Linked DNA regions of Diceros bicornis minor. The protein of the gene in region 1 interacts with the protein of each later gene in a pairwise test. Links are inferred from orthologs where the notes say so. Each region holds a gene or a part of one and is shown on either strand. Other genes may lie near its edges. The genes, in order: ARL6IP1, SNX12, NDRG4 and GAD2.

Region 1 (7,828 bases):
AAATAGGTGAATTTTATGGCCTGTGAAATTCAGGCTTCAGAGGTACCTGGCACCTTATCCAAGCAAAAACAAAACAGCTTTATATCAACATGTGCCTCTGGTAAATTATCCATCGCTTTTATTTTAAAATGGTCCCTCAGAGAATACTGTGGCATATACCTGTTTGGTTGTGGGGCAGATATGAATAACTGGTGACTTCAAAGCTTGCTCTTTACTGCACTCGACAACGGGCCTCCAGTCTGTACAGTTGACTTCCTCTGGGCAGTCATTCTGCAAGTAGCCTTGCCATTGGAACTGTTGTAAGAGAACTCAGTTAGAGATTTAATCAGTGGTAAAAGGCCCAGTGATAATAGCAGAATGAGAAGACAAGGCTATATTTTGGGGATTATCTTGTAAATTAATGTAAAGTTTAGAGTGCTGTGGTTATGAAGTCATACATTTTTGATGATACACAATACCTATGGAAAACCAGGGATCTCCTCCTCTCTCTTCCTCCCTCTCTCTCTCTCTTTCTCAGATTCAGGGGGTACAGAATAACCTACAACCTCTTCCTCAATTCAGAGTACCCTTAGAAATTGAAGTTTATCTTAAGTGTTTTGTTGTCTTCATTTCCTAGAATTGCCTGAATTTTAGTTGATTTCTCTACAAAGCAGTGGAGGCTTAGTAGTTTATGGAGCTGTATCTGTGTTTCTCTTTTACTCTGTTTCTTTGGTGTGTCTTGCAGTATCATTATTTCCGGTTATGAGTTCTTAACAGTTTGCTAGGTGATTGTTAAGATTCTTTTGTGTCTGACACTTGTGGTGAGTTGTTTTTGAGATCTGTGAGATTTCTGTGTGAGAACTGATAATCAGCCTCTTGATCTGCTTCCCTAAATGGTTTTTTTAGACCCCAAACCCCAGGTTCAGGGTGAGGGTTTATAATACAAAGAAAAACTTCCATCACTTCTGCCCTTAACACTTGCCTCTGTTACCTTAAGGCTTAGTATGTAGTTTTCTTAATATTGTCCAATGTTTGGTGTTATCTGCCTTGGTTTAATTGCAGGTTTTTGTTTTTGTTTTTTAATTGTGGTTGTTCTGATGTGTGAAACTTAAGGAAAGAGCCATTAAAAACTGCCGAGCAGGGCAATGCAAGTACAGCCAAATATTACAGTTGATGTGCAATCTTAGTTCCTTTTAAATCTGGGGTTTTATAGGCAGTACTTTAAATTGAAAAGTCTTCCTGGCCTATTTTCCTCCACATATTTGTAATTACTCTGGGGGCTTACTTGTTTTGGCAGTACTAAAATCAAAGGAGCTGGTTCTTCTTTTCTCCCAATTCTTTTCCTATTGAAGAAAGCACCTACAATAAGCCTGTTAGTCGTATTCATATACATCAAAAATCAGTGACTGCTTTATTATTAGCAATTTAAGTACCTTTGTTTTACATAAAATTAGAACCATTGACCTTCCATTCTATATCTTCTTGAGCTTGTAAAATGCCAGTAATTTAGAGCTAGGACTTCCCCCCACTTAAATCAAGGAGGTAGAATATATTAAATAAGGGTCACTTAAAGAAAGTAGTTGGGTTGTATTAGAAAGTTTCCTCCTGTGGGGAAAAACTAGCTAGCATTATAGATTTTTCCAGACATTGGGGAAGGGGAAATTCACTGTATTATGAACCTCTTAAGGGTGTGTTGCACTTTTCCTGCTTTTTAGGCCTGGGTAACTGTCATCATCCCTTATTTACAGGAGGGCAAATGGACTCAGGCTGAGAGAAGCTTCATAGGTTCAGGGGTTAGTGGTACAACATGAACTGCTTAGAGTCTCTTGCTTTCTGTGGGAATTTGACTGGGCTTACTAGGGAAAAGCTGTTTGTTGTGCTAATGTAAAAATGTCATACAATTAGCTTGACTTTCGAAGATGGTAAACTTAAGGAACTGCTTGTTTTGAAATGCAGACTTGTAGAATGTTTTCTTTCTTTCAAAACAGGCTGATTTTTCTTTTTCTTTTCCTGCAAGTCCAAGTTTCAGCTCTTGTTTAAAGTTCTTGTGTCAGTTATTTTTCTGGTTTAAATTTCCTTATATTTCCAGCTGTAATGTCAGTGGCACCATCATACTTCACTTACTTGTTAATTTCCTTCACCCTTATTATAAGAGCAAATTGAGTTGAACTGAATCTTCCTTGTCCCAGTAACATTGTATAAATAAAGTGGCTTCTCTGTACAAAAGGTTGTAATGCCTCCTGATGGGTATAATTTTGTGATTGTATTTAAGATTAAAAGTTGAATAAATCACACCAGCTTCCTGAAAATGTTCGTAATGCATCTTTTGGAAAACAAAAATACATGCCTATGTTCTGCATATTTGCATTAACATGGCAAAGATTGTATGAAATACCTGTTTTTCAAAAAATAAAGTCTTAAAAGACATAGCATTTAAGCTCTGAATTTATTGGTTGAAGTAGGTTCCAGAAAACTTAATTTTGGAATATGGGTAGTTTTTTTTTTTTTTAAGCATTAATACCTCCAAAAAAATTTTTTTAAAGCTTAATTCTCTAAAAAGTAAATTTTTTACCCTCCAAGTTCTATTTTTGAACAGCAGTGGAAATTTTACTTCAGTGGGAAAGTTCTTAGTATTAAGGTACAATGTATTAAGCTTAATTTTGTCAATATTTAAACAAAACTGTAGAACATTATTGACATGTATGTTCCCTGGGGTATGAAAGCTCAGAAGGAGAACAGAATTAAAATGTCCAGCTTGTTTCATTATCTGGAAATCAGATTGCATTTGTTGCTGCTAGTTTATGTTAGGAGGGTTTATGTTAACTGTTAAGTCATTTGGCACGTTTCAAAAGATCACATCCTGTCCTTGTAGTACAAAAACAGCACAAAAGGAAGCTACGCTAAGGGTAGGCTTTTTTTTTTCCCTCTAATAAGGCCAATTGTAAGTTAAAGACAGACCTTACAGCAGCACTTAGGCTCTGAAGTTGCAGATAGGTCTGGGAACACATTCCTTGAGTAACAAAAATACTCCATGGAGAACTTCTGCTGTTTGAGTTACTTAAATTCTTTTCACCTACCTCAATTTCACAAGCTGGTGTTGAAAAGTCTTTCTTCTTAAGTTGTACATAGGGAACTTGGGTGAAAACCAGAAGCATTCTGTAGCAAAAGCTGATCTCCAAAAGTAGAAATGTCGATGTTTAAAGCCTAATAACTCCTTGGCCTCGCCTTTGGCAGTGAATGTTACTGTGCCTGTAAGCAAATTTTGCCTTCAAAGTGCTCAACATATGCACTATTATGTGGCTGCTGATTGTTAGGGACCTTTTAATTTTCTTTTGAAGAGGTAGGGGAGGGCTTGCGACTCGATAGCTTTAAAGTCTCCCAAAATGGGGTCTCTATGTGACTGCATACATCACCTGTTTTTTTCCCCCAACATCCCCCAAAGTGGCACGTTATTGAAGAGGCCCCTTCCCTTGCAAAGGCTCCCCCCCACCAAGTGTTGATACCTAATCCAGTTGCTTTATTTTTTTCACAGATCCATGGCAAATTTCACACCCTTTCATGAAATTCACAATGTTCCTGCCCCCCTGGTTCTCTTAGGAGCTGCATGTGCGCTATAGCTGTATTCTCAAATTTCTTTATGCCTTCCCTGAACTCTTAAGAACCTGGTAGTTATTTAAGGAATGCTTTTAAAGTAATCTAAATTCGATGGCATAATACAGATGACTATAAAAGGATAAAAGGCTGGAAGTTAAAAGCTATGATAAATTTTCCTGAAACAGACAATGTGACCAGGTCAACATTTGGCCTGATTTTGTTTGTACCAAGTAAAGAAAATCAAAGCACTTGTTAATGCATGTTGAAATCCTGGAGAGAAAAGGAAGTGTCTCAACATAGTTCATCTAATTCCTAAATTGCCTCTGAATCCCACGGTTTGCATCTTTCCTTAGCATGACTTACAGTGTAAGAAAGGTTCTGTCAAAACGAGTCCTTTTTTGGATAGGGAGCTCGCAGTTTCCTAAGTAACTGAAGTGCCCCACAAGGAATTTCCTTAAAGACTCCACGTAAATAAGCCAACTTGATAAGTCAGTGCATTTTTCACAAGTTCTCAAACTAGACCCAGATCCTCCTCCCTCCCTATCAAGCTAAGGCCGTATTACTAATGGGTAGGAAGGAAAAACTGCAAAAAATCTACATAAATAGCTCTTCTCATTTGTCCTCAAAACCTCAAGAGGTGGGCACGAGTCTCCGAGTCACAAGTCTGGGCTAAACCGCCCGGTGGCCTGACCAGAGCGGGGATTAGAAGAAAGGGGGAGCCGCCCAGGGGCACAGCGAGGGCGGGGGGCACCCGCCTGGTGGGGAAGGGGGTCCCAGCCGACCCCCTTCATGACATCGAGGTTAGCGTCCCAGGCCCATCTCTGCCCTCCGCCTGATATGCGTGGCATATTTCTTCGAGGACTAAATTCCAGAGAGGCTCCTTAGCTGCTCTGAACTCCAGCAGAAGAGGCTCCGAAGACGACCGCAGCGTCCACGCCTGGGGCCAGCGAGGCCAAACCAGACCCGGGGCGGCCGCATTTCAACCGCTGCCGAGAGGCCTGGGCGGGGCGTCGCACATCTCCTGGGCGCTGATTGGTCAGTCCCTGCCCCGCCCCCTCGGCCCGGAGCGGCCCCGCTCGCCTTTGACCTCGATTTCAAGCCATGCGCTGGGCAGCGGTTGGTCCGGCTCCCCTTAAGCTTGAGCTCGATCTGCCCAATGAGGAGCGAGCTTCGCGGGGTCTGTCGGGAAAGGCAGCCAGCCTATATAAGCGGCTTGCGGGGCGTACCCTCGCGCTGGAGTCGTTGTGCGGGTCCTGCAGTAAGGCTGCGTTGGAGGGTGGCTGGCGCTCGCTGAGCGGCACCTCGGGGACGATGGCGGAGGGAGATAATCGCAGCACCAACCTGCTGGTGAGCCCCGGGGCCTCGTCGCGGGGGAACCGAGCGGGGCCTGCGGACGTGGGTGGGCTCAGGGAGGCGGCGCTGCGGCCTCGTTCCTGTCACCGCGGCGGGCCCGGCCCTCCTCTCCCGGCTCCCAGGCCAGGCGACGACGCCTGCCCCTCGGGCTTCTTGGGTGGCAGTCCCTAGTCGTGTGGACCCCTGACGTCCCCTGGGGAAGGTGCGGACCGGCCGAGGAGGGCGCGTGATCAGTCACGAAGAGGGTTGAGTAGGAAGTGGGCGAGGGGGCTGTGACGAGCCTGGGGTGCAGCCTGGGCCAGACGGCCGCGAGGGGCCTGTGGAGCGCTTTGGGGGCCCAGGCCCCAGCCGCATCCGGGTTTCCCCCTTCTTGATCTTAACCTGGATGTCCTTTCGTTTTTTTTCCCCCCAAGACTTGGACAGGAGTGGAGGGTCAAAGGGCTGCTGCCCGGTTGTTAGAGCTGGCACAGCTTAAAACGGCAGGGAGGCTGCGAGTTCGCCGCGGGGAACTGGGCGTGGGGTCCAGCTGGAAGGACAGTGGGCGTCCTGGCGTTGGTCTGGAATTTGTAAGCCTTTGGGGGGGGTCTCAGGACGACTTCAGAAATAAGCAGGGGTCCGAAGGAACCGCAGTGAGATGGTATCCCAGGCGGGCAAGTGTAACCCCTCTGCGAATTTCACGGCATGATCTAGGCAAAAACGAGAGAAATCCGTGCATTTTCTCCGTTGCCTTTCCCCAGGGAAAGACAGGCCACACGCCACAACCACAATGAATAGAGGAACCAAAGAATTTAATTTTTCACTTTTGGTTTTTCCGAGAGCCCAGGTGCTAACGAATTAAGTGACTTTGCAGGGCAGTTTTGATTGTGCGTGATTTTCATTTTGCATTGGTTTTTAGAAACGCATGACCTGCCCCGTTACACACACAGACCACACCCCTTCTCAGTGCTGTGCTTAGTTAGCCCTAGCCAGGTTGCTTTTAAGAGGATTGACTGAAGCACAAAGAAGTTGCCCAGGTTCACACAGCTGTTGAAATGACAGATCCTGGCCTGGTGCTCAGCTGCTCTTGCCCAGCAGAGCAGTGTAGCTTTAAGGGGAGCGAGGCCTTTGACCTTATTTTTTCCTGGATTCACATCTGTTAACCTTTGTGTGGCTCAGCTTCCTCTTCTCTAAAATGAGGTTAGTAACGCCACCTTCCTTTTAACTTTTTGGGAGGATTAAAATATAAGCATATAAAATACTCAGCAGAGTTTCTGGCACATAGTAATTGCTTATTTAACTATATTAAGCATAGTATATGAAGTCAGAAATATTGACACCTAAGTGTGATCAGTGTGGCTCAGATAGCATTTTCATTAAGATTAAGCTGCACTCTCCCCTGTTATTTGCATGTTTCCCTGTAATAACATTTATAAGGACATGTTCCAGTTTTTTTTCCTCTACCCAAATCAGCTTAAGGGCTTTTTGCCGCATTAGCTCATCCTAGAAGTCTGCTTTCAGCTGATAGTCAGATTTGCAGAGAAATTTGAGGTCTAACTAAAATGTCCTGATAAGTGTAAGAAGCTCTGTATTAAGGAGATATATTGAGCTAAAATGCTTCTTATAATTTGGCGAGTTTTCCTTAATTGTGTAAATGATGTCAACATCTAAATGATTCCATTACACAAAGAGCTATTTTAGAAATTGCTGTTCAGGGAGAGGCTTTCCTAATGGATTTAGAAGGAGGGGTTTAAATCAATGGAATGACAAAACAGCAGATCAGTTCTAACTACCTGAAATGGGGGAATTGAAAGTGATCTAATTTTATACTTTGGGCACTGCCACTTAGTGCATGACTTTGGGAAAGTTGGTTAACCATTCTGAGCTCGCTTTCTTTCATTGTAAAATGGATCTAATTGTCCCTACCTTGAGGGGCTCTATAAGGATTATGTTACATCGTGTATGTAAATAATAGCCCAGTACTTGGACTTGGACGGGGACCATTAAATGATAGTTTTTTCCCCATTAATTTCTGTCTTTGGTACGAAAATTGCAGTTTTTTGGAAACTAACTTGTTTAAGATAGTGATTTGGTTAAGAGCTATTTCACACACACTTGGTGCCTTGGAAGAATTTAACTCTCTAGGAACCACAGAAATGTTGAGAGTGGTAAAATGACCGCTTTAAATGTTGGTCATGCGTAGGCTGCAGAGACTGCGAGTCTGGAGGAGCAGCTGCAAGGATGGGGAGAAGTGATGCTGATGGCTGACAAGGTCCTGCGCTGGGAGAGAGCCTGGTTTCCACCTGCCGTCATGGGGGTGGTTTCTCTGGTGTTTCTGTAAGTGCACTGTTCAATTGCTATGGATTGTGCTTGTTATTAGTAAGGGCTCAGGTCATACACAGCCTTCATTTAGTCTTTTGTGTAATGTATAATCTGTAAAGAATGCCTTTCCTTAGAGCAGTTCGCCTAGTTTTCAGAATTTGTAGTACTTATGTAAACTCAGTAACCTAATGCAGTTGAATAAAGACCCTTTGCACTCCTAAAAAGTATTGAGGACCCCAAAGAGCTTTTGTTTCTTGGTATTTGCATTAACCATTGCAGCTATGATGTCATCATGTCATGAAGCTTTTGGAAAACCACTTGTGAGAAAGTTAGAATGAAAAGGGCAAATAACATCTTTGAGAACCAGAGGACTCAGTGAATAAGCATCTTCAGCTGGGAATAATAATAACTATGGTTTTCTAACCTTTATTAATTTTTTTTTTTTTAAAACAGGACTATCTACTATCTAGATCCATCTGTTCTGTCCGGTGTTTCCTGTTTTGTTATGTTTTTGTGCTTGGCTGACTACCTTGTTCCCATTCTGGCACCTAGAATTTTTGGCTCCAATAAATGGTAGGTGGCCCAAGGATTTGGCAGTCTAATT
Region 2 (7,190 bases), on another chromosome or scaffold:
GATACCTGTGCCTTGCCCAACATCACTTGGTAACTGTGAAGCTCTGTGCCTTTCATGAAAAGCAAAAAGGTGTGTGCGTGTAAGCCAGCTGGTAACAGCTGTTATCGCGCTATTACTGCAAAGGATTTAATTAGCCCAGTACTGTCTACTCTCTTCTCTCTGCCCTATCAAATCTTTCTCTTTAAAAAAAGACCGTATATTTACACCTCATTGTGAATTTAACTTGCACAATTCTCCTAGGGCTATTTGATTTTAAGCCTTATCCCTTTACTCACCTGTATATTCAACTTCTCACTTTCTATGAAATCCTTCCCCCCTCCCCCAGCTGTTAAACATATCCAAGTCTCTTCTCTCTAAAAATCAAACAAATCCTTCTTTGACAATGCATTGCCCTCTAGCTACCACATTCCTTTCTTAGGCAAGCTTCTCAAAAGAATAGTCTCTACTAAATGTTTCCACTTCTCCACCTCTGATTTAATTCTCAATCCACTGCAGTCTGGGTTCTACCTCCAGTGCTCTGCTGAGACTGCTCTCATTTAGGTAACTGTCAAATCTAGTGGACATCTCTCAGGCTTTATCTTATTTAACCGTTCTACTGTATTCAACACTTTTAACCACCTCTTTGCTCCTTTTGGAAACATTTTTTTATCCCTCCCCTTCAGATCACTATTGTTTCCTGGTTCTCTTTCTACCTCTATGACCACTCTTCCCTGGTCTCCTTCATAAGCTTCTCTTCCCATGCCTGCCCTTTAATTTTTTTCTCAAATGGAAATAGCTTTTTTTTTTCTGATGAAATAAAGAATATATATAAAGAAATACATTCATTGTTTAAAAATCAGGTCTTTTAGAAAATTATAAATAGAACCATAAAATCCAACTGAAACCCCACCACACAGAGGTAACCACTGCTAACATTTTGATTTATATCCTTCAAGTCTTTAAAAATTATTATATATATCATATACAGTAATACAAAGGGTATCATATTACAATATTTTTACCAGCTTTTTTTCACTTTTTTTGTGGGCATCATTCCATATCAACAAGTATAGAACATTATTTTAAATGGATACATAGGAGAACCCTGAATTTGGCCATTTACACAGGAGACTGAGTTTTATGATGGAAGTGACTGAGATACAAAGTCTGTAAAATATAGAACCCACTACTCCTTTGTAAGACTCATCATATAAACAAATTCACAAATTAGAAAAAAATGGCTACAAATATTCCATTGCATAAAATGTACAATTATTTGCTCTTAAAGATAAGATCCTGGGCCGGCCCTGTGGCTTAGCGGTTAAGGGCGTGTGCTCCGCTACTGGCTGCCCGGGGTTTGGATCCCGGGTGTGCACCGACGCACCGCTTGTCTGGCCATGCTGAAGCCGCGTCCCACATACAGCAACTAGAAGGATGTGCAACTATGACATACAACTATCTACTGGGGCTTTGGGGAAAAAAAAAAAAGGAGGAGGATTGGCAATAGATGTTAGCTCAGAGCTGGTCTTCCTCAGCAAAAATAGGAGAATTAGCATGGATGTTAGCTCAGGGCTGATCTTCCTCACAAAAAAAAAAAAAGACAAGATCGGTATACTGGTATCTTTATGTAATTATCTGATTATTTTCTCAGGATAAATTATTGGAAGGGAAATTTTCGAGTCAAAAGTTGGTAAATAACATTAAAAATTTTTTAAAAATACAAAAGTACTTAGACATAAATGAAATGAAAATGAAAAACAACTCTCCCTGCCATCCCTGACTCCTGTTCTCCAGCTCTGCTCTCCAGAGACAAGCAGTATTACAAGTTTCTTGAGGTCAAAGGTTTTTTAAATATATGCTACCAATTTGCCTCCCAGAAAGATTGTATGGATTTACACTCTCATCAACACTGCACGCCTTCACCAATTTTTAAATCTTCTGTCCTTGCCTCTTCACATTTTTCTTTCTACACTGTACGCTGACGACTCCCAAATCTCTCTCTCTAACCCTGATCACACCCTTGAGCTCCAGGCCAGTATTTCCAGCTGCCTGCTAGACATCTCCACGTGGATGTCCTACAGACACCCCAGATTTATCTAAACTGAACTCATTGTCTTCCCTCCCAAACTTACTCTTCTTTCTGTAATTCCAGTTTTGATTTGTGGTACCAGGATCCACCTAGTTACCTAAATCAGAAACCTAGGAGTCATTTTCAGTTTCGTCCCTCTCCCCTCAAATTGTAGTAATAGTGAATAGTTACTGGTCACTTATTGTTTGCATGTATTTTATTTAATTCTCACAAAAGCCCCACAGGTAGCTTTTAGTCTTATCATTTCCATTTTACAGATGAACACTGTTTGGATAACTTGCTCAAGGTTATATAGCTAGGAAGCAGGGATTTCAACCCAGATAGCTTAAGTCCATAGCTCACATGCTTAAGCCCTATACTATACTACCATCACATCTAATCAGATACAAGTCCTATCTATTTTATTTCCTCAATCTCAGTCCTATCTCCTCGCTTTTCTCCATTCCCACCATCACCACCAGATTCCAAGTCTTATTGTCGATACTCTCTTAATTAGTCACATTCAACTCAAATACATCTTCCATGTTGCCTGCAAAATAATCCTTTTAAAACACAAATCTGATCATGTCTTTTTCCTGTTGAAGGTCCTTCAGTGGCTCCCTATCGCTTACATCATAAAGCCAGAGATCATTTGCTTAATATAGAAGTATAACCCTCAGCTGCCCGTCCCCAGCCAGCCTACCTCTCTAAGCACTTCCATTACACAATCCAAAGTGGTGATAATTGCCTAAAAATATCATGCTGTTTCTTATCGGAATGACGTTGCACATGCTATTCTCTCTGCAAGAAATTACCTTTCACCGTTTCCACTTCTATTTGTCCTTTACATCTTTTCATGTCTGTCAAGCTCAGATGTTTCCTCCTCCAGGAAGGCTTCCCTAATTCCTCCAGTTATTCATGTCCTGTGTGCTGCTTTGAACATTCGCTTATTTTGTATTTGTCACATTATATCAGTTTTATTTAGTTGTCTCCCTTTCTAGAATGTTAACTCCTTGAGGGCAGGAACTCGCTTATTCAACTCTAGGTCTTTAGTGTTTAGCATGGTGCCTGGCACATAAGTAGTTGCTTAGAAGATATCAGTTAAATTGAATTAGATAACTTAATTGTGAAATTATAGGGCCTTGTACTCTGTTGAAGGAATTTCAGGCATCAGTGACACGGGAAATTTTTTTGAGCAGATGAGGGCAGGTGCAGAAAAGAGAAAGGATGACCTAAAATCACCACCCCTAATGTGGGGCACTTCCCCTTCAAGTGGGCGATGAGTAAATTAGTCATATAAATATTAATACATATTTCTATAGATATTCTCATGTAGACATGTATTCTCTCTCTATTGTGGGCTGCAAGCAACCTCAGAGCAGTGCCAAGTATGGAGCTCTGCAGCGTAGAGATAGAAGGTATGAAATAAATGCCCTCAATTTGCTGAGAAATGTAATACCTGAGTACACCTGGAGTTAGCTTTTATGTGGCAACAAGTGGAGGATGAAGATATGCCCAAATTTTCCTGAAAAGTGAGAATGAGAAATCATCTTTGTTTACCCCATCCTCGCTGCTTTCCTGGCACCGTAGATAGTGCTCATTGAGTGCTCAATGGCGCGTGGAATGAATGGAAACTATCAGTCGCACAAGTGGCGAGGCTTCGTTCTGGGTTCTTAGTACTGTTGTTGGAACCCCACCCTCCGGAGACCATCCTTCTATTTTTGCGCAAAACCCTGACTTATTGAGGTCACGGGACTTTGGCCGATCACTGTAGGATCCTAGTTTGCGGGGCAGTGCCCACTGCTGACTGATACATGGTATATAAGACAATTTCTTGGGTTGAGGAGCAGCGATTGGCGCATAGCGCCTGGAGGGCTTCCCAGGATATTGGGTGGTGCGTGTTGGAAATGCAGGTTCCGGGGCAGCCGCAAACACCACCCGGAAGCCTGAATGACGCGTCCTCTGTACAGCACAGACAACCGCCAGCTTGGCCGCTATTCAGGGTGCCGGGCCTGGGGCCGGGGCAACGTGCGCGTGCGTGCGTACGTGCGTGCGTGGGCGCGCGTGCGCGGCGCCGCTGTCTGTGGGTTGGCTGGTTACTTTGCAAGCGGGAGGGGCCGTGCGCGCTCCTCCCTCCGGCCTCTGTCCCTTACCCCCCTTCCCTGGTCCCGGTCTCTCCTTCGGAAAGATGTCGGACACGGCAGTAGCTGACACTCGGCGCCTTAACTCGAAGCCGCAGGACCTGACCGACGCTTATGGGCCGCCAAGTAACTTCTTGGAGATCGACATCTTTAATCCACAGACGGTGGGCGTGGGCCGCGCGCGCTTCACCACCTATGAGGTTCGCATGCGGGTGAGTCACGGGGTGAGGGAGACAGCTGAGGGAGGACCGGGCGGCTGGGCGGGGAGGACCGGGCGGCTGGGCGGGGAGGGCGGGGTGGGGGAGGCTGCCATAGGGACGACTAACGGTGGAGAAGAAGCTTGAAGGGGTCATTTGGGGGTTAGTAGAGCTTAATAGATTTGGAGAGACGTCTGCAGACTCGGTTGTGGCTCGAGGGTACAGAAAACTCCTGAGGGGGACATCGGACCGGGGTGAGGGAAAACAAGTACCCAGGAGCAAGAAGCGAAGCATGGCTGGATGGGGTGAGGAGGATGGAGATCAGAGTGAAGAATCAAGGAAATAGAAATCATGACTGTAGCGACAGAAGGAAAGAAGGAAGAGTGGAAGAGGGCTGGGGGATGGAAAGCCACGGCGATATATCACTGGGTCCCATAACTAAACTATGTTGTGGGAAGTCAGTCTGAAGAGGGACAGCAGGAAGACCCGGCTTCTTCCTAATGCAGTCTCCCTGGGATGACGGAGTTAAACAAAGCCTGGATTAAAGGGAAAATAGACTCCAGAAAAGGGAGGCAGTGGGCTTGGTGGAGCAGAAGAAAGGGAGTCTCCTTGAAACCGAGTGTTTCCCGGACTTGAGTAGAATTAGCATCTGAAGGAGAGAAGTATTTTATGCTTAAGTTTTCTCAGGTACCACATGCTGTGTCTCTCTGTGAAACCTGGCCTTGCACTGGGATTGGGGGATTGTCAGTAGCTGCTCTGCTTTCCGTGCTGATCTTTTAGATGTGAAGTATCCAGAATGTTGATTTTAATATTTATTGGCTCTCATTTCTGTCCTAGATTAACCTTCTGGATTCAGACCCTGGTCTGTAGTTACTTTAATAGATGACATTTCAGGACTGCCCCAGGAGTGGCTTCTGCCAGTGTGCACTGCAGAGGACTTTATTCTCTAGTTCTTAGTCCACAGTGCAAGGATGGAATGTGCAGAATAGAGTACACAGTTTGCAGGTTCTTTTGCCCAGTTGAAGTGGTTATAGGCAAAAAAGTTTGAGAACCATTTTGTAATTTTCCTTATGTTTTCTTCTCAGACTACAAGGCCAGAATATTCTCTATGGACAGCATGCTGCTCAGATAGCATTTGAAGACGTAAAAGAGTGTATGTGCTTTCAGTTTTGAATGAATGAATGAAATAAATGAGAGATTGTGCTCTCGTACCTGGGCTTTGAAATCCAATTGAGAAATGATGATCTCCAAATTCCAAGTTAGGCCAAGTCCAAACTGAAGAAAGAAAAGCGAATAGCAAAAAATGAGAAAAACTCGTCTATATAAGAACTATTTGGGGGCTGGCCCAGTGGCGCAAGCGGTTAAGTGCGCGCGCTCTGCTGTGGTGGCCCTGGGTTCACCGGTTCTGATCCCCGGCACGCACCGATGCACCTCTTGTTAAGCCATGCTGTGGTGGCGTCTCATATAAAGGAGAGGAAGATGGGCACGGATGTTAGCCCGGGGCCAGTCTTCCTCAGCAAAAAAAAAAAGAGGAGGATTGGCATTGGATGTTAGCTCAGGGCTGGTCCTCCTCACAAAAAAAGAAAAAAGAACTATTTGAACTCATCTCTTTGGGGAAGAATAGAAATTAGATCCTTCAAAATATGATAAAAGCTGGAAACTGTTCGTGGTAGAGAACTTTACCTGAGGAAGCCTGGGCATACCTTGTTCAGTATAAGGACTCTCTGCTGTGAGGTTTGGAGACATTGTCTTGATGCATTACCCAAGAACCTTAGGGATTATGGATAAAATAGCTCTGTACTTCAGGCATTCTAATAACAACAGAGACTGTTCATCTAGTGCCTACAATGTGCCAGGCACTGAACTAGGTTTTAGTTTCTAAATCCTTATGAAAACACCATTTTGCAGGTAGGAAACTGAGGAGGAATGCAGTTTAAGTAACTTGCCCAAGTACACATAGATAATAAGTGGCAGGGCTGGTGTTTGAACCCAGGTCTGTCTGACCCCCAAAGCCCATCACAATCTTTCCACTACACTTCTGCCTCTTTGGCAATGCTTAGTTGCAAAACTTTAGTGTGCAAAATTTGTCTACCCGCTAAGCTTTTCATCTGTCTTTTCCACAATTTCTAATTGTATGGTGATGATAGGGTTGATGGCAGTTCCTAGTTCCGCAAGTTTGAGTTAGTTTGTATTGTTTATGTTAATTTGTATGGCTATATAGGCTTTTAATGTTTTTATTGAACTCTGTTTTGGGGAAAAATTGTAAAATCATTTGGTTTTTTTTATAATTTTATTTATTTATTTTTCTCCCCAAAGCCCCAGTAGATAGTTGTACGTCATAGCTGCACATCCTTCTAGTTGCTGTACGTGGGACACGACCTTAGCATGGCTGGAGAAGCGGTGCGTCGGTGCATGCCCGGGATCCGAACCCGGGCCGCCAGCAGCGGAGCGCATGCACGTAACCGCTAAGCCACGGGGCCGGCCCAGTCATTTGGTTTTAAATTGCTATTTTAAGTGTTTGATGGATGTAGGCGTTACAGGGAGCATGAGACTCAGAGAATGGGCTTTGAGAGTTAGGTATTGGGTATGGTAGAAGCAGATGGCACTGACTTTTTTTCTTTGTATAATAGCTAAATATTTCTGAAGCTGTTCCCTTTCATTTTGTTCAGGAAAGAATCCTCCCCCCACCTCCTCAAGAAATGAGGAGTCTGGAGAGGTGTCCTGGTGACTTCACATGATGTGTATGGAATTTTTCAAATGTCATTTGTCCTGTGGACTTGAACTTTGCTTCTTTCTCTCCTTTCC
Region 3 (7,272 bases), on another chromosome or scaffold:
GGGGCATTTTCAAAGGGAACTGGAGGGGGTCTGCTGTCTTCTGGGATGGGAGAGCAGACAGTGGGTGTCTCGAGTTACCTGGAGAGCAAAGGGCTGGCCTTGAGGGAGGAGGGTCTTGACACGTTGTGGGAGAAAGGGGGTGGCAACATAGTCAGTGAGTGGTCCAGGGTGGCCCAGGAGCAGGGAGCAGACAATCTGGTGGCTGGTGAAATTCCAGAGCCAGACTGGGGCCAGGCACTCACCCCTGCCCACTTGCTGGTCCCAGCTTCCTCACCATCTGCTCACACATGCCCAGCATTCTCCACCTCAACCCCCGAGCTCCTGTTGGGGGCAGGGCTTCAGCGTGCTGAGCTCTGTGCCTCCCCGAGCTTAGGTCATGGCTTGGCTGACCCAACATATGATGGATGGATGGATGGACAGATGGACGGACGGGTGGATGCTGCTCTCCCCCAATCACTCTCTTTCCCATCTCTATCTGCTGAAATTCCACCTCTCTGCAGGCTCAGATGCCTCTTCCTTCGGGAAGCCCTTGCTGATTCCTCCAGGTCCCCCACTGTACTGCATGGTAACCTCAATTGCACATCTTAGCAGAGTGTGCCCAGTACCTAGATTATGGGACTCTGAGCTGGTTTCCTCCATCAGTGCATAAACCTTAAAGGTCACTGGTCAGCTCTGGTTCTCCAATGCACGCCACAGCACAGGGCTGGGCACGAAAAAGGCACTCACCCGATCCTAGAAAAGAAGAGAAAGGATCCGCTCGTCTCTCCCTGAGGTCACCTGACTCGTGATTAGTGAGTGAGGGGTGTTAGCCGGGGGATGAGGGGGACAGTTCCTGCTCACCCTCCTTCTGCTGATAGAGGAAGCTTCCATGGCTCCAGGCTCCTGTGCGCCCCCGACTCCACCTGCTAGTTCTTTTCACTTGCTCCCAGTCATGGTCACGAGGGGACTGGAGCAGGATGGTGACTCAGCCCAAGTCATCACCACAATGGAAAAACCCAGTCACCTGTCCTCCTGGCAACGGGACCGGAGCTGCCTCTGCATCTGGAAGGGCAGCAAGCCGTACTGTTTTCAAGGTCCTTTTGTCTTTCACCTGCTAAAAAATCAAAGACTGAAGTATGTAGGGGCACCATCGGTTGACACTGTAGATTTGCGGTGTGCTACGAATCTCAGCGACCAGGGATCGTGTGTTCCCTCCATGCCAGGCTCTGAGTTAAGTGCCCACGAGCATCATCTCACAGCAGTTCCACAACAAGTCCATTGTTATCTGAAGTGGGCACTTGTCACTCTTTTGGCCACCAGCATCTGACACGCCCTTCATATGAGGCAGAGCCCACCTCCCACTAAAAGAACCGAAAACACCTTTTCCCTGCCTCCCTTGCAGCTTTGGCAGAGGACCTGAGGTGTGCGCCTCCAATCGGACACGCCCATTCTTGACTGTGAATTAGAAACTGGTGACACAAGGAAGCCAAAAGCACACAGGATGCATTCTGTCGAGGATGCGGCAGTGGCAGCAGTGCCACCTCTGGCTTCAGAGGCAGCCATGGTCCTGATGGCCGTGTCCAGTATCCTTGCCCAGGGACGCTGGCCTCAGCATCTAAGCCCGGGGGCGGCAGCAGCGGTTTTGACACCAGACTAATGCTGCAATGTTCGGCCTGCCTCCTGAGATCTCGAGAGCAGCCCACCCTCCCTTTAACAAAGGACTTTTCTGCTTACACTAGCCAGAGTAGGGGTCTCTTTCCTGCAACTACGAGACTGATTTATTAACCCGAGTTTCCAGATGGGGAAATGCAGGCTCAGAGAGATCTTCAGAAAGGCTGTGTCTCACCTCCCGCCAGGGTGGAGGCCAGCCTTCTCCTGCCTGTGGTACAAATGGGAAAAGGGGAGTCCAGAGAAGGGAACGACTTTTGCAACATCTTTCAGGTAATAAGGAGCAGGGCTGGGGGGACACATCTTAGAGGTTCTTGTCTCAGCCAACAGCTTGGCCCTCTGCCGTGTTCTGCTTTCCTCTGTTAAAAACCCTGCCATCCAGCCTCCCTCGCAGGGATAAAGAGAACCTGGGAGCAGAAGGGACTGAGAGCTTGCCCTTCTGCTGACTCAGCAGGGACTCCTCTTTGCCCCCATGAGCGACTCTTCCAGAAGGGCCAGGGCCCCTCTACCTGGCTATTCCCTAAGCACCTGTGCTTGACGTAATAGCCCCTATGGGAAGGGGTTGTTCTTAACACCACATTTCTTCTTCATCTATTAAGTCTCAACTTATAGGGGTTCAAATCCTCAACCCGACCCACCTGAATGCTTACTTGGGGTTTATAAATTATCTGAGCCAAGTGGATCATCCACGTTAGTTCAAGACCATGGCAGATGGCATTCCACACAGAATGTCATTCCATGACATTCCACATGCCATAGTGTCAAAGCTCTTGTTAGGCAGGCCTTTACATCCTCCTGGGCCTCTGGTCCTCCAAGGAATTCGGAACAGGTTGGACCTCGTGAATTAGGTTACTAGAACATCAACAATGAGTTTTGTTCAATGACTAGGTCTGAAATTACTGAAAAAGGGTAGAACTCAGGAAAGCCTGAAAGAATTTCTAATGCAATAATAACAATTCCATCATCAACAATCATAGCAACTATTTGTTGAATATTTCCACCATGTGTCTGGCACTATACTAAGCACTTTCTTTACGTTCCATCATTTAATTCTTACAGGAGCTCTCTGCGGTCAGTATCATCCCAATTGCACAGAATATGACACGGAGGCTCAGAGAGGATGAGTAACTTGCTGGACATCACACAGCCGAGAAATTGTGGAACCAGCCTGTGCTCTTAAGGACTGGCTCCAGGCTCGTATATATAGAACCACAGTCTCCTGGATGTTTTGGACATAGAGGCTTACTCTGTCACCACTGACCTCCCCCCATCCCCTTTACAAATGAGGAAACTGAGAGGCAGGGATTTCCGCAAGGTTAGCCCCACAGCGGTAAGGAGAACCCTTGCCGCCTCCTATGCAGTTTATATACTGCACCCCAGCAGGAACATGCACACCGTCTGGGGCCACCAAATCTTACCAGCTTCCTCATCCCCTGAGTCAGTTAATTCAACACCAAAGTAGCTTCCACGGAAGCCTGGAGCTGAGGGAAAGCTGGGACCTGACCACAACCCAGCTCAGATAAGAGAAGATGGAGGGCAGGTGGGGGGTGGGGGCGGCGGGGGGCCTGCAGAATCCTCTTGACCTCCCATGCCACTGCCATCCTGGACATCCCAGGTGACCCGCTCCAACACATCCGCTCTGCACCGAGAAGGCCGGAATCAGGGAGCGGCAGAGCCCCGCCCAAGGTGACCGGCAGAGGCTGAATGGAACCCGGGTCTCCAGGAATCCTCCTCTTGAGCCGTCCTGCCCAGGTAAATTTTTTCACGTCATCAGATTTCCGTTCTCCCTACAGTAGGACTCCATCCAGGGGCTCCGGCGCTCCCTCTTTTGGGGTGACAGGTGAGAACAACATTACTGGGCCAGACCAGAGTGAGCCTGAGGAAGACAGGGGTCTCCCAGTTCCCTTTCCCGCTCAGATAATGGAGGAGCAATTGAGGGGAGCAGGGATCTCGCCAAATTTTGGGGGATGGGGTGCCGACCCTGCGGACCCAGAACATCTCTGCCTGGAGACAGTCACTCCCGCTTGAGTTCTCCAAGGAAACCCTTGGGCTCTGAAAACCGGGGACGATGTCCCAAGGGCCTCTGAGCACCTGGTCCTTCCCGACCCCCCAGGGCTCTTCCCCGGCGGTTCCCAGGCGGGGGCAGGGGCTGGGGAGGGGGTGCTGTCTCCACCGCGCTGGGGTTCCCCTCGGGAATCCAAACAAAGCCGGAGGCAGAGGCCGCCCCCTCCCCCGGACACCCGACGCCGCGCGCCAACAAGGGGACTGGAGGGGCGGGCGGAGCCTCCCACGGCACCCGGCGGAGCCCGAGCGGCGGGGACCCTTCCTCCGGGCCTGCGGGAGGTGAGAAGCGTGCGGATCGACCCGTGTCTCCGCTGGGCTCGGCGGTCGCAGCGTCCCGCTCGCCCACCCAGCCGGCGCTCCCGCCGCGGCAAGAGGCCGATGAGCGCCCGGGACGGCCCCCCGGGTCCAGGCCGCGCCCAGCCCCGCGGGCAGCGCCCACGGCCGCCACACCCCGCGGGCACGCCCCCCGCGCCGTCCCCCGCCCCCGCCCCCGGCAGCGTTGGCACCGCCAGGGCCCCCGGCTGCCGCACCTGCACCCGCGTTGGCGGCGGCGGCGCCGAGGCCCGGCTCCCCGCCTGCGCGTCTGTCTCGCTCGCATCGCCCTCGGTGAGTCCGCGGCCCCGCGGCCCGTCTCCCCGCTCCTCCTGCCGTGATGACCGCGACCAGCCCCCCGCCCGGCGCAGCCTCCCCCTGCGACCCCAGACCCGCGAGCCGGGCGCCTGGTCGCCGGGGCCATATTTCGCCTACGCGCGGGCGGCAACCCTGCCCCCCACCCCCGGGCTCTCCCTCCTCGCCTCCCCCGCTGGGCGCGGGGACCCCCAGGGCCACGGCCCCGCTGCGGCCCGCGCCTCCCCCACCGCGCCGCCCGGGGGCGCCGGGGCCTCTTTGTTCGCGCGCCGGGCGCAGGGCTCCTCCTGCCGCCTCCCCGAGTGTCGCCCGCACCCACCCCGCGCGCTCCCTCCGCCTCCCGGAGTTCACCCCGACCAGGTGGCAGCGGGCGCCTTTTAGGGGTGCGCGGTCGTGCAATTGGTGGATTTTTTTTTAACCGTTTTGGAAGGGGGGCGGCGAGATCGCGGCTGCCTCCCGGCTGCTCCTCCTGCTGCGCTCCTCGCCTCCCGCGCTCCTCTCCCCGGCTCGGCCGAGCGCGCTCCCCCGACGCCGCAGCCCCGAGCCGGGCAGCGCCGGGCGCCGAGATGAAGGTGCTGGGACACAGGATCGAACTGCTGACAGGTACCGCCCGCCCTGCCCGCGGCCGCCCTGCCCGCGGCCGCCCCTCGGCGCGGCCCTCGCCGCCAGCCCCTTTCGGAGTTGGAGCGGGAGCCAGGCGCGGTGGCCGGGGTTTGGGGCGGCTCGGGTTCGAGCAGGAGGAGGGGGTGCGGATGCCAGCGAATTCCTAGCCTGTGCGCTGCCTGTTCCTGTGCGGAGCCCGCCCCTGGAGAGGACTTGGGGCCGCGACTCGCCCGGCTCCGCTCTCTGAGTCCCGGGTGCCCGGCGTCCCGGCGGGTAGAGCGCGTGCGGCCGGAGCTCGGGTCAGGGGAACGGCCCCCCTGGACCCTCCGGCTAGCCGACTAGCCGGGTTCCAGAGGGGGGAGGGGAGCTGAGAGCCCCTGCCCTCCAATCAGTGTCCCTCGGTCCCCCAAGCAAGGAGCGCCCTGGGCTCCTGGCAGGACCCCTGCCGTGGGCCTCTTATTTCCTGCTCGCTGTGACCATCTGAGCGCCTCTCCCGAGGAGAAGTTTCTTGCTGGGAGTAGAGGCCAAGTGGCCTGGGAAGTGGGAAGCCAGATTGGACCTTGATGACGGGGGACTCTCAGCCCTGGGGCTGCTCTGGAGAAGTGGCCAGACACCTAGCTGGAAACCACATCCAGGGTGCTGGGGCTGGAGATCAACAGAGGACACTGAGCTATGCCCGGAAGAGGAGGCAGAGAGACAACAGGGACAGAGGGGATCTGAAGGGGGTGGGAGATGCTCTTCCAGGCATAAAGGACAAATCACACAGGCGGCTTCTGTGGTCTTCCCAGGGCGGAGGTTGTGGAGAGACCCAGACGGGAGGAAGGAGGCTGGGAAAGGGCAACAGTCAGGATCCGGCCAGGGCCTGGGCGTGGAGGCCCTCAATCAGTGTGTACTGGATGGACACGTGGGTCCCGGTAAATGTCCCCTGGCACCTGGGAGGGTTTGGACCCTGACTTCCAGGACCTTACCGTCTGCTGCAAAAGAACAGAGCACAGGAGCCCTGTTACAAGACAGGGAAGGGGGCAGCAGTGTGGGGTGCACGCGGGAGACAGGTTGGAGTCTGAGTCGGGATGTGAGGAGAGCAGAGAGGTTTGAGCACGTGGTGGCGCATTTGAACTGGACCCTAGAAGACAGAATTTCTATTACTAGAGAGGGGGGCGGCATTACAGATTGAAGGGTAGAGGGACTGGCATATGCAGAGGCTCTGAGGTGTGTGGGAGGCTTGAACCAGGAGTGATGTGGAGGCTGGAGGGCCCGGAAGGGGCAGGGGAAGAGGTGGGCAGGGAATGAGGTCTAATGAGGTTTCAGGCTGTGAGTCCGTGTTAAATCAACAATGCTGCTCCTCAGCTCCTGGCAGGCTCAGAGAGAAGGGAAGGTGGGGGCTGTTCCTGGAGCCCTGGACACTCTGGCCAGGTGCTCAGAAGTGCCGGTTCTGGGCCCAGTTAGCCACTGGGCTGGCGCTCCTCCAATCCCTTTTCCAACTTTCCCTTGTGGAGCTCTCTTGAGGCAGGCGGGCTGCCTGACTGTGAAGGGAACTGCACAGGCCGTTGAGCTTGTTAATTACTCCCCCGAGGAAAGTTTGTACAGCCCCAGCGGTGTTTAGAGCCCTGCATGCAGGACGGAACTCCTGGATCCTTCCCCTTCTCCTCTTCCAGCACCAGAAGAGCCTGGAGGAGGAATGCTCCCAGGAGGCGTGTATGGGGAACTCCACTGGAGGTCCAGGCTTTGGGGTTCCGAAACAGTGTGCCCTCATCTTCTGGGTACAAGGGTCAGAGCCCCTCCTCCCTCATCAGACAGGCTCAGCTGGTTCTGGCAGACTCTCTAAGCCCCTGGCCAGGCTGACACAGGACTCCCTCAGTCACTGTCATCAGTCACAGGGTCCCCTTGCACCTCTCACGAGGCCCTGGGAGATCATGCATCCCTCTGTCGCCGCCTGGTGGTCTTTACAGCCTTCGCTCTCTCTCCAACTCCCTTCCTGATCTCTTCCTTGTCCCATGGATCTGGGTTCAAATCCCAGCCCCACTGCCGGCCAGCTGTGTGATTTCAGACTGGTCGCCTAACCTCTCTGACCTCAGTTTTCTCATCTTAGAGATGGAACTGTTGACCCTTCCCTCTGAGAGTTGGCGCGAGGCTCACTGAGAGAACACAGGTGCTGGGGCCTTGCCCTGGTGGGCACCTCGCCGGCTTTGTCTCCGCTCTGGTTCCTGGACCATGGCTGTCCCTGTAACGGAGCTCTCCATCTGCCCTGGCTGGTTGGCCACTGGGAAGTTTGGGTCTGTCCGCAGCCCACTTTATCCCTGCTCCCATGCAGCTGTGAGGTTTTGACCCATC
Region 4 (7,507 bases), on another chromosome or scaffold:
TCCCAGGCCCGCGGGACACTCGCGGACGGGTTGAGTCCGTGCGAACAGAACAAAGCCCCGACGGGAGGAGGGCCGGGGAGGGGGTAGCTTTGAAGATGACCTTCTTCTCAAACTCAAGCTCTGTCTTCCCTTGGTTATTAAAGTTACTAAATAAAGGAAGTGCCTTGTAAAATCCGTGGCTTTCGGGACTGGTGCTCCACATTCCCCTTTGGGGCCGGGCTCCTGCGTCTGGTTGTGCAGGTGGTGGTGCCCAGGGAGGGGGAGTGAGGTACTTTCTGTCTCCATCCGCGAACAACTCCCCACCACCACCAGCCACCCCAAACAAACATATCGTCTCAGTTAAAACCCCGCACTTGCCATACAAACGTGACCTCCAGACAAATCCCCCCACACACATACACACTGAGGGCAAACACACACATTCACACACACACACACACACAAACAAGCCTTCCCAACCAAGGTGGCTTCCTTTGGCCCCGCCTATAAGAAGTCTGGTCCAGGCACTGAGCTGAACTCAGATTTTTCAGGTTTTCCTAGTGTGCAGATTTGAGACAATCTCCGCTGCGCCGAACTTTGGTGTATTTGAGATGTAGGGGAGGGCAGTGGGTGGGCAGAGGTTTGCATTCTTCAGTTGACTGCATCGTATTTTAAAACCAGGGTTAAGCTCGGAACTGACACCCTCCGTGTCTACGCGGCCTGCAGAGGATGAAGAAGGGGGTCGCGGTGGTTTCATGGACGACTGAATTGAGAGAAGAGTTCTGGCTGGGACGGGCTTGTCCCGTCTGTGGGTGCCCTCGGCTCCTGCACCCATGAACTCCGAGCCCAGGGGAGAGTCAGGGCGCGTGCAGCCGGCTAATAACGTTTGATGTGCCGCTTGCCCACTGGGTGTAAGGTTTTCTCCAACCCAAGATGTGGACGCCGAAAGGTCCCCAGGTTACAGATGAGACCCGCGCGAGGGGAAGCCTCCCGCTGTGGCGGGGCTGAGATCGGGGTCCAGGTGCGCTCTAGGTCCCGCTCCTTCCCTGGGTTCGCGCCGCGACCTCCGTTCGGGTGGGGACCCGGAGGAAGGAGCCACCCGGACTGTGCAGACCGACGGCTCCGCTGTGGAGGGCTGCAGCCTGGGCCTAGCACGACGGAACCAGCGCCGCGGGGCACCGTACTCCGGCTAGGGGGAGGGACGGATATCTGTAACTGGAGGTGGCCCGGCCCCCTCCGCCCCAACCCACACGTCCATCCACTACCAGCAGACCCGGAGGGGTGGGGGATGCCGAGCTCCGCTCTGCTGCCAGACCCTGTCTTCAATCCAGGCTTCTGGAGTGGCCCTGGCAGCCCGGCCCTGCCCTTGCTGGATGGGGAGGCAACAGGCCCCTTCCCTAAACTCCTCCCGACCCTTTTAAGTGGGACTGGACAAAAGAATGGCAAACGTTTGGTGAAAGGCTGCAATGTTTTTATTGTCCTTTTTTCTTTTGTATGTCTTTGTTTTCTCTCCTTTTTCTTTCTCTCTCTTTCCATCTCCCCTTCTTTCTTTGTCCTTCGACATTTAAGCACTGGGAGGACAGAATGGAAAACATATACCAGACACTCTCCTTTGGTGAGCCTGCAACACGATCTCCGGGTAAACCACGGACAAGAACTAGGTCAACCAAGGAGCCCGGCCTGGTAGCCCCCCCACAGAGCGTGGGTCTCTCGCCCCTGATTCGGGGAAGGGCCTTGGAAAGCTTTTCCTTGGCGCTGGCCCGCCTCCCCTCCCCACTCGGTGGCTGCCTCCTTTGTGAACTAATGACTGTAATTATTACCTCCCTGAGCTCTTTTGTTATCTCCAACCCCAAGCCAGAGAGAGGGGGGAGTGGGCTCTTTTGCGAAATGAAAGTCTTTATAAAGCAAATTGCCGTCTAGGGAGGGACGGCGAGAAGGAAAGACAAATCAGATCCGCGTGTGCATCTGAAGTAGGGTGTGTTAAATAAAAAATGTAAATACCACCGTTAGATTCAAAGGACTCCGGAGCTGCGGGATTTAATGGAGTCGAAATAGTAGCATTTTAAGTCATTGCGTTTTTAAAAAATCCGTTCAATCCAGGTGTTGCGATTTCTACCTTCCTCGTGTTTTAATCTGTTATTTCCTTCGGGCCTTTGTATTGTGTTAAACCCTTGTTTGAAAGAACTTTTATGTTTTCGACTACTCATCCGTAATAGAAAAGTTCTGCAGCCCCAGCCTGCTGGCTTGAAGCAGAACATTAGCAGTGGATTTGGTGTGGATTTAAACAAAGAACCGGTCTCTCCGACTCGTATCTACACTGCTGGAGCAAGGCGTGCGGAGCTGCCCTGCCCGCGGTGCAGACGGCGGAACCACGAAGTCTTTACATCCCTGGAGTTGTTACCTGGGTCCACTGGAGTGTTGGAGCCGGGAGCGCGGAGCGCCGGACAGAGGGACGGAACTGGGGCCTGGGGTCGTGCCCACCGCGCGCCCGCAGCCTGGTGCAGGCTTCTCGGCACAGCCGGCTCTACGCGGAGCCGGTGGGACCCTGCCAGCGCCCTTCCCCGTCCCCACTACCAGGCCGGGGCGCGGCGGCCGCGGTGCTGATGCCACGCATCCTCCCGGCTCGGGCACGTGGGAAGAGGACAAAGCTTTGGGGAGAGAATTGACCAGGCCCCCACGGACCTGGGGACACAGGACTTGGGCTTGCACGCGGGCATCCCGGGGCCCACGACATCCTTCCTGAGCGAGGATCGAGGGGCGGTAGCCGAGACTGAGGATCCGTGGGTCTCTGCCTTGGCCCCAGCTTTGGTGACTTGGTTCAGGAGGTCAGAGAAAGAACGGATTGTGAACAGAATGGAAATGAAAAGCGCTCATCTAAGGGGAGCAGCGCGTGGGGAATGCGCGCCCCAGGAGGCCGAACGCAGCGCTTTCTCCCCCGTCTCATCCTCGCCCTCTCTCAGAGAACCCAGGAGCGGCAAGGTTGTACTTGACGCTGCTCTCGACCGCCAAGGGAAAGCAGCGAGGACTCAGCGAGCCCCAAGTTCTCTGGGCGCCCTTCCTTTGTTTAACAGCGTTTAGAGAAGGGAAACTAAGAGAGGGGAGACTCTGACTGTCTCAGGAAAGGAGAAACCCCTTCCCACCAGGCATCAGAAATAGCGAATCTCGCCCAGCCACTCCCACTATCGTGCGGGATTCTCTTGGGGTGGGAGGAGGTCATTGATTTGAGGCCCGCTAAAACGAAGGCCCAGCGAGAGATGCCTTCTTTCCGCCTCGGATTTGGAAAGCTCAGATTGCTTGGTTGGAAACTCTGTGCACGCCTCCCACGCACACACCGATTCCCGTCACACGTAAGCAGCGGTCCTTCCACGCCTCCCCGGGCCAAGGTCACCAAATGACCCGATCCCATCCCCCATCAGCCGTCAATCCTGCGAGCTCTAGCTGCTCTCCCTCGCCCCCTTACAAGAAGTTCCCATTCGTTTTATTTTTTTCCCCAGCCCGAGGTCCTCAGTGATAGACTCCAGCATGGATTTTAATTGCCTCAATCAGCCGTCTTTCTCCCCTGCCGTCAGTCAGAACCTGGATGGTGGGTCGGGCGACAGCGCGCTCCGAGGCGCAGGAATGGTGCGGCCGGGGGACCGCGCGGCTCAATAGGCAGGCATCAAGCTCTACCAAGGAGCTGAAATGAGCCCATCAGTGCGTAGGCGCCCTTCCTCCCCCAGCGTCCCGTCTCCAAGCTCGAGAACCGATCCTCATTCCGCCCAGCCGCCCGGGCTCTCAAGGTCACAGCTACCTCAGCACCGAACGAGAATCGCGTCTCCTTCCCCGCAGCCGGAGCCAGATCTCAAACAATACGCCAATCGGTGCGTATATAAGACGCTCGCCTCCGCCACCCTTCCCGCCTCGCCAAGGTCTCTCTGGTCTACCCCTCGCTGAGGCCGGCGCGCGGCCAGCCGCGTCAGCACTCTGGATAGCTCATCCGGGCCGGCGGGGGCCGCCCGCACCCTCACGCCTCGTGCTCTCCGGGGGCTCGCCCGAACGCCCCCCACCCACACGCTCTGACTCCAGTTCGTGCGCACTGTCTGCCTCGCACCCTCACGATTCAGCACCCTCCCGCTCCCGTTTTTTTCCCTCCCCCGCCCCCTCATCTATCCCTTTTGGGCTCCCTCTCCTTCAAAACCACTCGCGCGCTCCGTGCTTTCTCATCTCCCGGTTGTGAGGACCCTTCGGTCCCCTTCCCTATTTAACCTCCACCGCTTTCAGAGCGTCGCCACGTCTCTAAGCTCTAATCCCAACACGCATACACACGCGCGCACGCAGAAAGAGACACGCACGTTTCCTGTCCCTATGTGACACTCTCTGCCGCGCGGCCGCGTGGGTCCCCGTGCGGTGCCCTCCTCCCGCCACACACACACACACACACACACACACACACACACACAGGCGCACGCACGCGCGCGCAGGGCCGAGCCGAGGGCAGCTCGCAGACAGTTCGCACTCGGAGGCTACCTGCTCCAGTCTTGCAGCGCCGATGGCATCTCCCGGCTCAGGATTTTGGTCCTTCGGGTCTGAAGATGGCTCCGGGGATCCCGAGAACCCCGGCACAGGTAGGAGAACAGAGACCTGCAGCAGGCGAGCTTTGCGGGTGGAGTGGGGTTTGTCGGGCTAGGAGGAAGACGAAGGAGGTTTTTCCACCTGCAACAGGAAACTTAAGACGCTTCGCCCTACTCTTGGAGTAGGTCCCTGATGGCCCCAAAGACCAAACCCCCTACAGGTCCTTATCCCTGGAGAAGATGCCCAAAGAAGTCTGGGAGAGCCCCCCAAACACCGAGGCGTCTCCTCGACACCGAATTCCGTGGGCCTGGGGCACTGCCACCATCTTGGTGTTTGGACCCTGGAGAGAAACGGAGTGGTGGTGGGGAAAGGAGAAAGGGGAAAGAATTTTTGGTCTGGAGGAGAGCCTGCGAGGAAATGGATAGCCTCAGCGTCTAGGAAAACTCGCCCGAGGGAGGCGGGAAGGGGAGTTTGCCTGACCGATTGGCACCTGGAAGGCAGGCGCTAAGGGCCGCAGTTTGGGCTCCTTGAGAAACAAATCAGCGAACCGAGGGCCGGTCCGGGCCGCCCGGCTCCCGCGCACCTCCCGCACCTGCCGGATGTGCCGAGCCCCGGGCGGCCCCTCCTGGACCCCGGATTTATTGACGTTGTTCACGTGGAACGAAATTTCACACGTCCGTCTGCTGTTTTCTTTCTGCCTGGCTGTCCTCCTGCCTGTTTTTCCTTGCAGCGAGAGCCTGGTGTCAGGTGGCCCAGAAGTTCACGGGCGGCATCGGAAACAAGCTATGCGGTGAGTGCCAGTGCCCCGGGGGATGGGGGCGGACTTGGCCAGGCGCCTCCGGGCCCGCGAGGGCAGAGCTGCCTTCTCGCCTTCGCATCCCCATCAGCGGAGTCGCAGTTTCTTGGTCAAGGATGGGCGGGGGCGAGGGAGCCCGGCCCCGCGGGCGGCTGACCGGCGCGCTCCGTGTCCTTCCCAGCCCTGCTCTACGGAGACGCCGAGAAGCCGGCGGAGAGCGGCGGGAGCGAGCCCCCGCGGGCCACCTCCCGGAAGGCCGCCTGCTCCTGCAACCAGAAGCCCTGCAGCTGCTCCAAAGCGGATGTCAACTATGCGTTTCTACACGCAACAGGTAAAGGCGCGTCGCGGCCCCCCCGCCCCGAGCCCACTGCTCCTCGCTCTGCCCCGCCCACCGCGGCTAGGAGTGACCCGGCGCCGGGAGCCTGACCCGAGGAGTCCAGGTGGAGAGCGGAGGCGGACCTTACGAGAATCTGGAATCCAGAAACGCTGGGCCTGCCCCCTCGATGCAATCCCCGACCCTGGCGCCTGCGTGGCTCTGGGTGCCGGCGTTCCAAGGGGGCTCTGGGGCCGCCGCGCTCTTCCCCTAGCGCCTCCCTCGGGTCTGCGGGTGGCCGAGGCGCCCGCGCGCGCCGGAGCTCGAGGTCGGCTTCTTGGTGCCGCTAAGCTCTCGAGTGGAACTCGGTTTCCAGTTCAGAATTGCTGAGACTTTCTAGGTCTTTAGATCGCAGGAGTAATTTGTAGCTCTGATTTCACAGAAGAACGATTCTATTCACGTGAGACCTGCGCGCGGTTTTACTCCCTTGCGCCTACACGCGCAGTCACCCAAACATGCGCGCGCGCGCGCGCACACAGACACAGATACACACACACTGACTTTGGAAACTGCGCGCCTTGGGAACAGGTCGGATATCCTAACATTGCACGATCCACTTCGCCTGGTTCACCCAAAGAATATTTCTGATGTGAAGTATTTCCATAATCATTTAAGATGATTTACTGAGAAATAACGTTTAGGACGAACCCTGTGAAATAGATGAATGGAGGCACACTCTGTTTACAAAAGAAAACAAACAATAAGTTATGAATTGAAATGCAAGAATTAATTTGGGGTTGGGGGAGAAATCGTAATTTCTCTCATTCCTTCGTCTTTGAAAAATACCTCCCCTTTAAAGAAAATGCTTTGCGTTTCCAAAAGCTTTCTTTAAAAAAAAAAATATGAAATCTCTCGGTTCAAAGAGAAACTGCTAAATCAAGATCTTACCTGGATATTTTCCTAGTAAAATTAAAATATGGCATTTTGATTCCATTCTTTAGACCTGCTGCCAGCGTGTGATGGAGAAAGACCCACTTTGGCGTTTCTGCAAGATGTTATGGACATTTTGCTTCAGTATGTGGTGAAAAGTTTCGATAGATCAACCAAAGTGATTGACTTCCATTACCCTAATGAGCTTCTTCAAGAGTATAATTGGGAATTGGCAGACCAGCCACAAAATTTGGAGGAAATTTTGATGCATTGCCAAACAACTTTAAAATATGCAATTAAAACAGGTATTGTCCAATCAGAAATAATAAAGCTCTTTTTTCTTTTACAATTTTTATTTTTTCTATAAAAATCTTTTCTTCTTTCATGAAGTTACTATTTTCAAAATAACAGTTATTTTTTAAAAATAGTCATTATTAGAATAATTAAAGTCAAAAGCATCCTTTACTAATGTGTTAATGCTTCTGAGGTTGATATCAGAAACATGATCTAAGGATAAACTGTCAGATTTTACATTGCACGTATTTGGCCATGGGAATTAACCCCTGACGTAGAAGCAAGCATTTGTCAGCAGAGGCCAGTAGAAGCAACCCAAAATGGAGACAGATAGGGAATATGGAAATGAAAGCTAAAAAGACATGATCCAAACAAAAACCCAAATACCAGTGTAGTGCTAGTAATTTCCTTGGCATAGAAATGGCCAGAAATTGGACAAACCACCCTATGTAATCATAGAACCAGAGAGATAATATTTTGGCATTGTCTCAAATAGCCAGTACTCCAGATTTGAACTCCAGGTTTTCTCTATTTTTAAAGAGATGCACACAAAAGAAAACACAATACAAACTAGCCTAACAAATCAGCCATGTTATATAAGGATGTGTGTGCCTCAAAGTTACTCTGTATAGAAGATAAAGAAA

What was found.
Region 2: the proteins of ARL6IP1 (region 1) and SNX12 interact in binary tests that used the Homo sapiens proteins (3 or more experiments, as listed by UniProt). The two-hybrid records come from large-scale screens. The link is inferred for Diceros bicornis minor from reciprocal best matches to the Homo sapiens genes ARL6IP1 and SNX12.
Region 3: the proteins of ARL6IP1 (region 1) and NDRG4 interact in binary tests that used the Homo sapiens proteins (3 or more experiments, as listed by UniProt). The two-hybrid records come from large-scale screens. The link is inferred for Diceros bicornis minor from reciprocal best matches to the Homo sapiens genes ARL6IP1 and NDRG4.
Region 4: the proteins of ARL6IP1 (region 1) and GAD2 interact in binary tests that used the Homo sapiens proteins (3 or more experiments, as listed by UniProt). The two-hybrid records come from large-scale screens. The link is inferred for Diceros bicornis minor from reciprocal best matches to the Homo sapiens genes ARL6IP1 and GAD2.

Annotation. Positions count from the first base shown.
Region 1 is NC_080765.1:33,438,732-33,446,559, forward strand, and holds the start of ARL6IP1 (ADP-ribosylation factor-like protein 6-interacting protein 1), read left to right. Parts: upstream 1-4,810; 5' UTR 4,811-4,884; coding exon 4,885-4,920; intron 4,921-7,105; coding exon 7,106-7,239; intron 7,240-7,677; coding exon 7,678-7,797; intron 7,798-7,828. UniProt on the Homo sapiens protein: Positively regulates SLC1A1/EAAC1-mediated glutamate transport by increasing its affinity for glutamate in a PKC activity-dependent manner.
Region 2 is NC_080781.1:64,391,721-64,398,910, reverse strand, and holds the start of SNX12 (sorting nexin-12), read left to right. Parts: upstream 1-4,181; 5' UTR 4,182-4,235; coding exon 4,236-4,400; intron 4,401-7,190. UniProt on the Homo sapiens protein: May be involved in several stages of intracellular trafficking.
Region 3 is NC_080771.1:11,749,900-11,757,171, forward strand, and holds the start of NDRG4 (protein NDRG4), read left to right. Parts: upstream 1-4,268; 5' UTR 4,269-4,317; intron 4,318-7,272. UniProt on the Homo sapiens protein: Contributes to the maintenance of intracerebral BDNF levels within the normal range, which is necessary for the preservation of spatial learning and the resistance to neuronal cell death caused by ischemic stress.
Region 4 is NC_080775.1:25,385,099-25,392,605, forward strand, and holds the start of GAD2 (glutamate decarboxylase 2), read left to right. Parts: upstream 1-4,507; coding exon 4,508-4,583; intron 4,584-5,260; coding exon 5,261-5,320; intron 5,321-5,507; coding exon 5,508-5,657; intron 5,658-6,640; coding exon 6,641-6,874; intron 6,875-7,507. UniProt on the Homo sapiens protein: Catalyzes the production of GABA.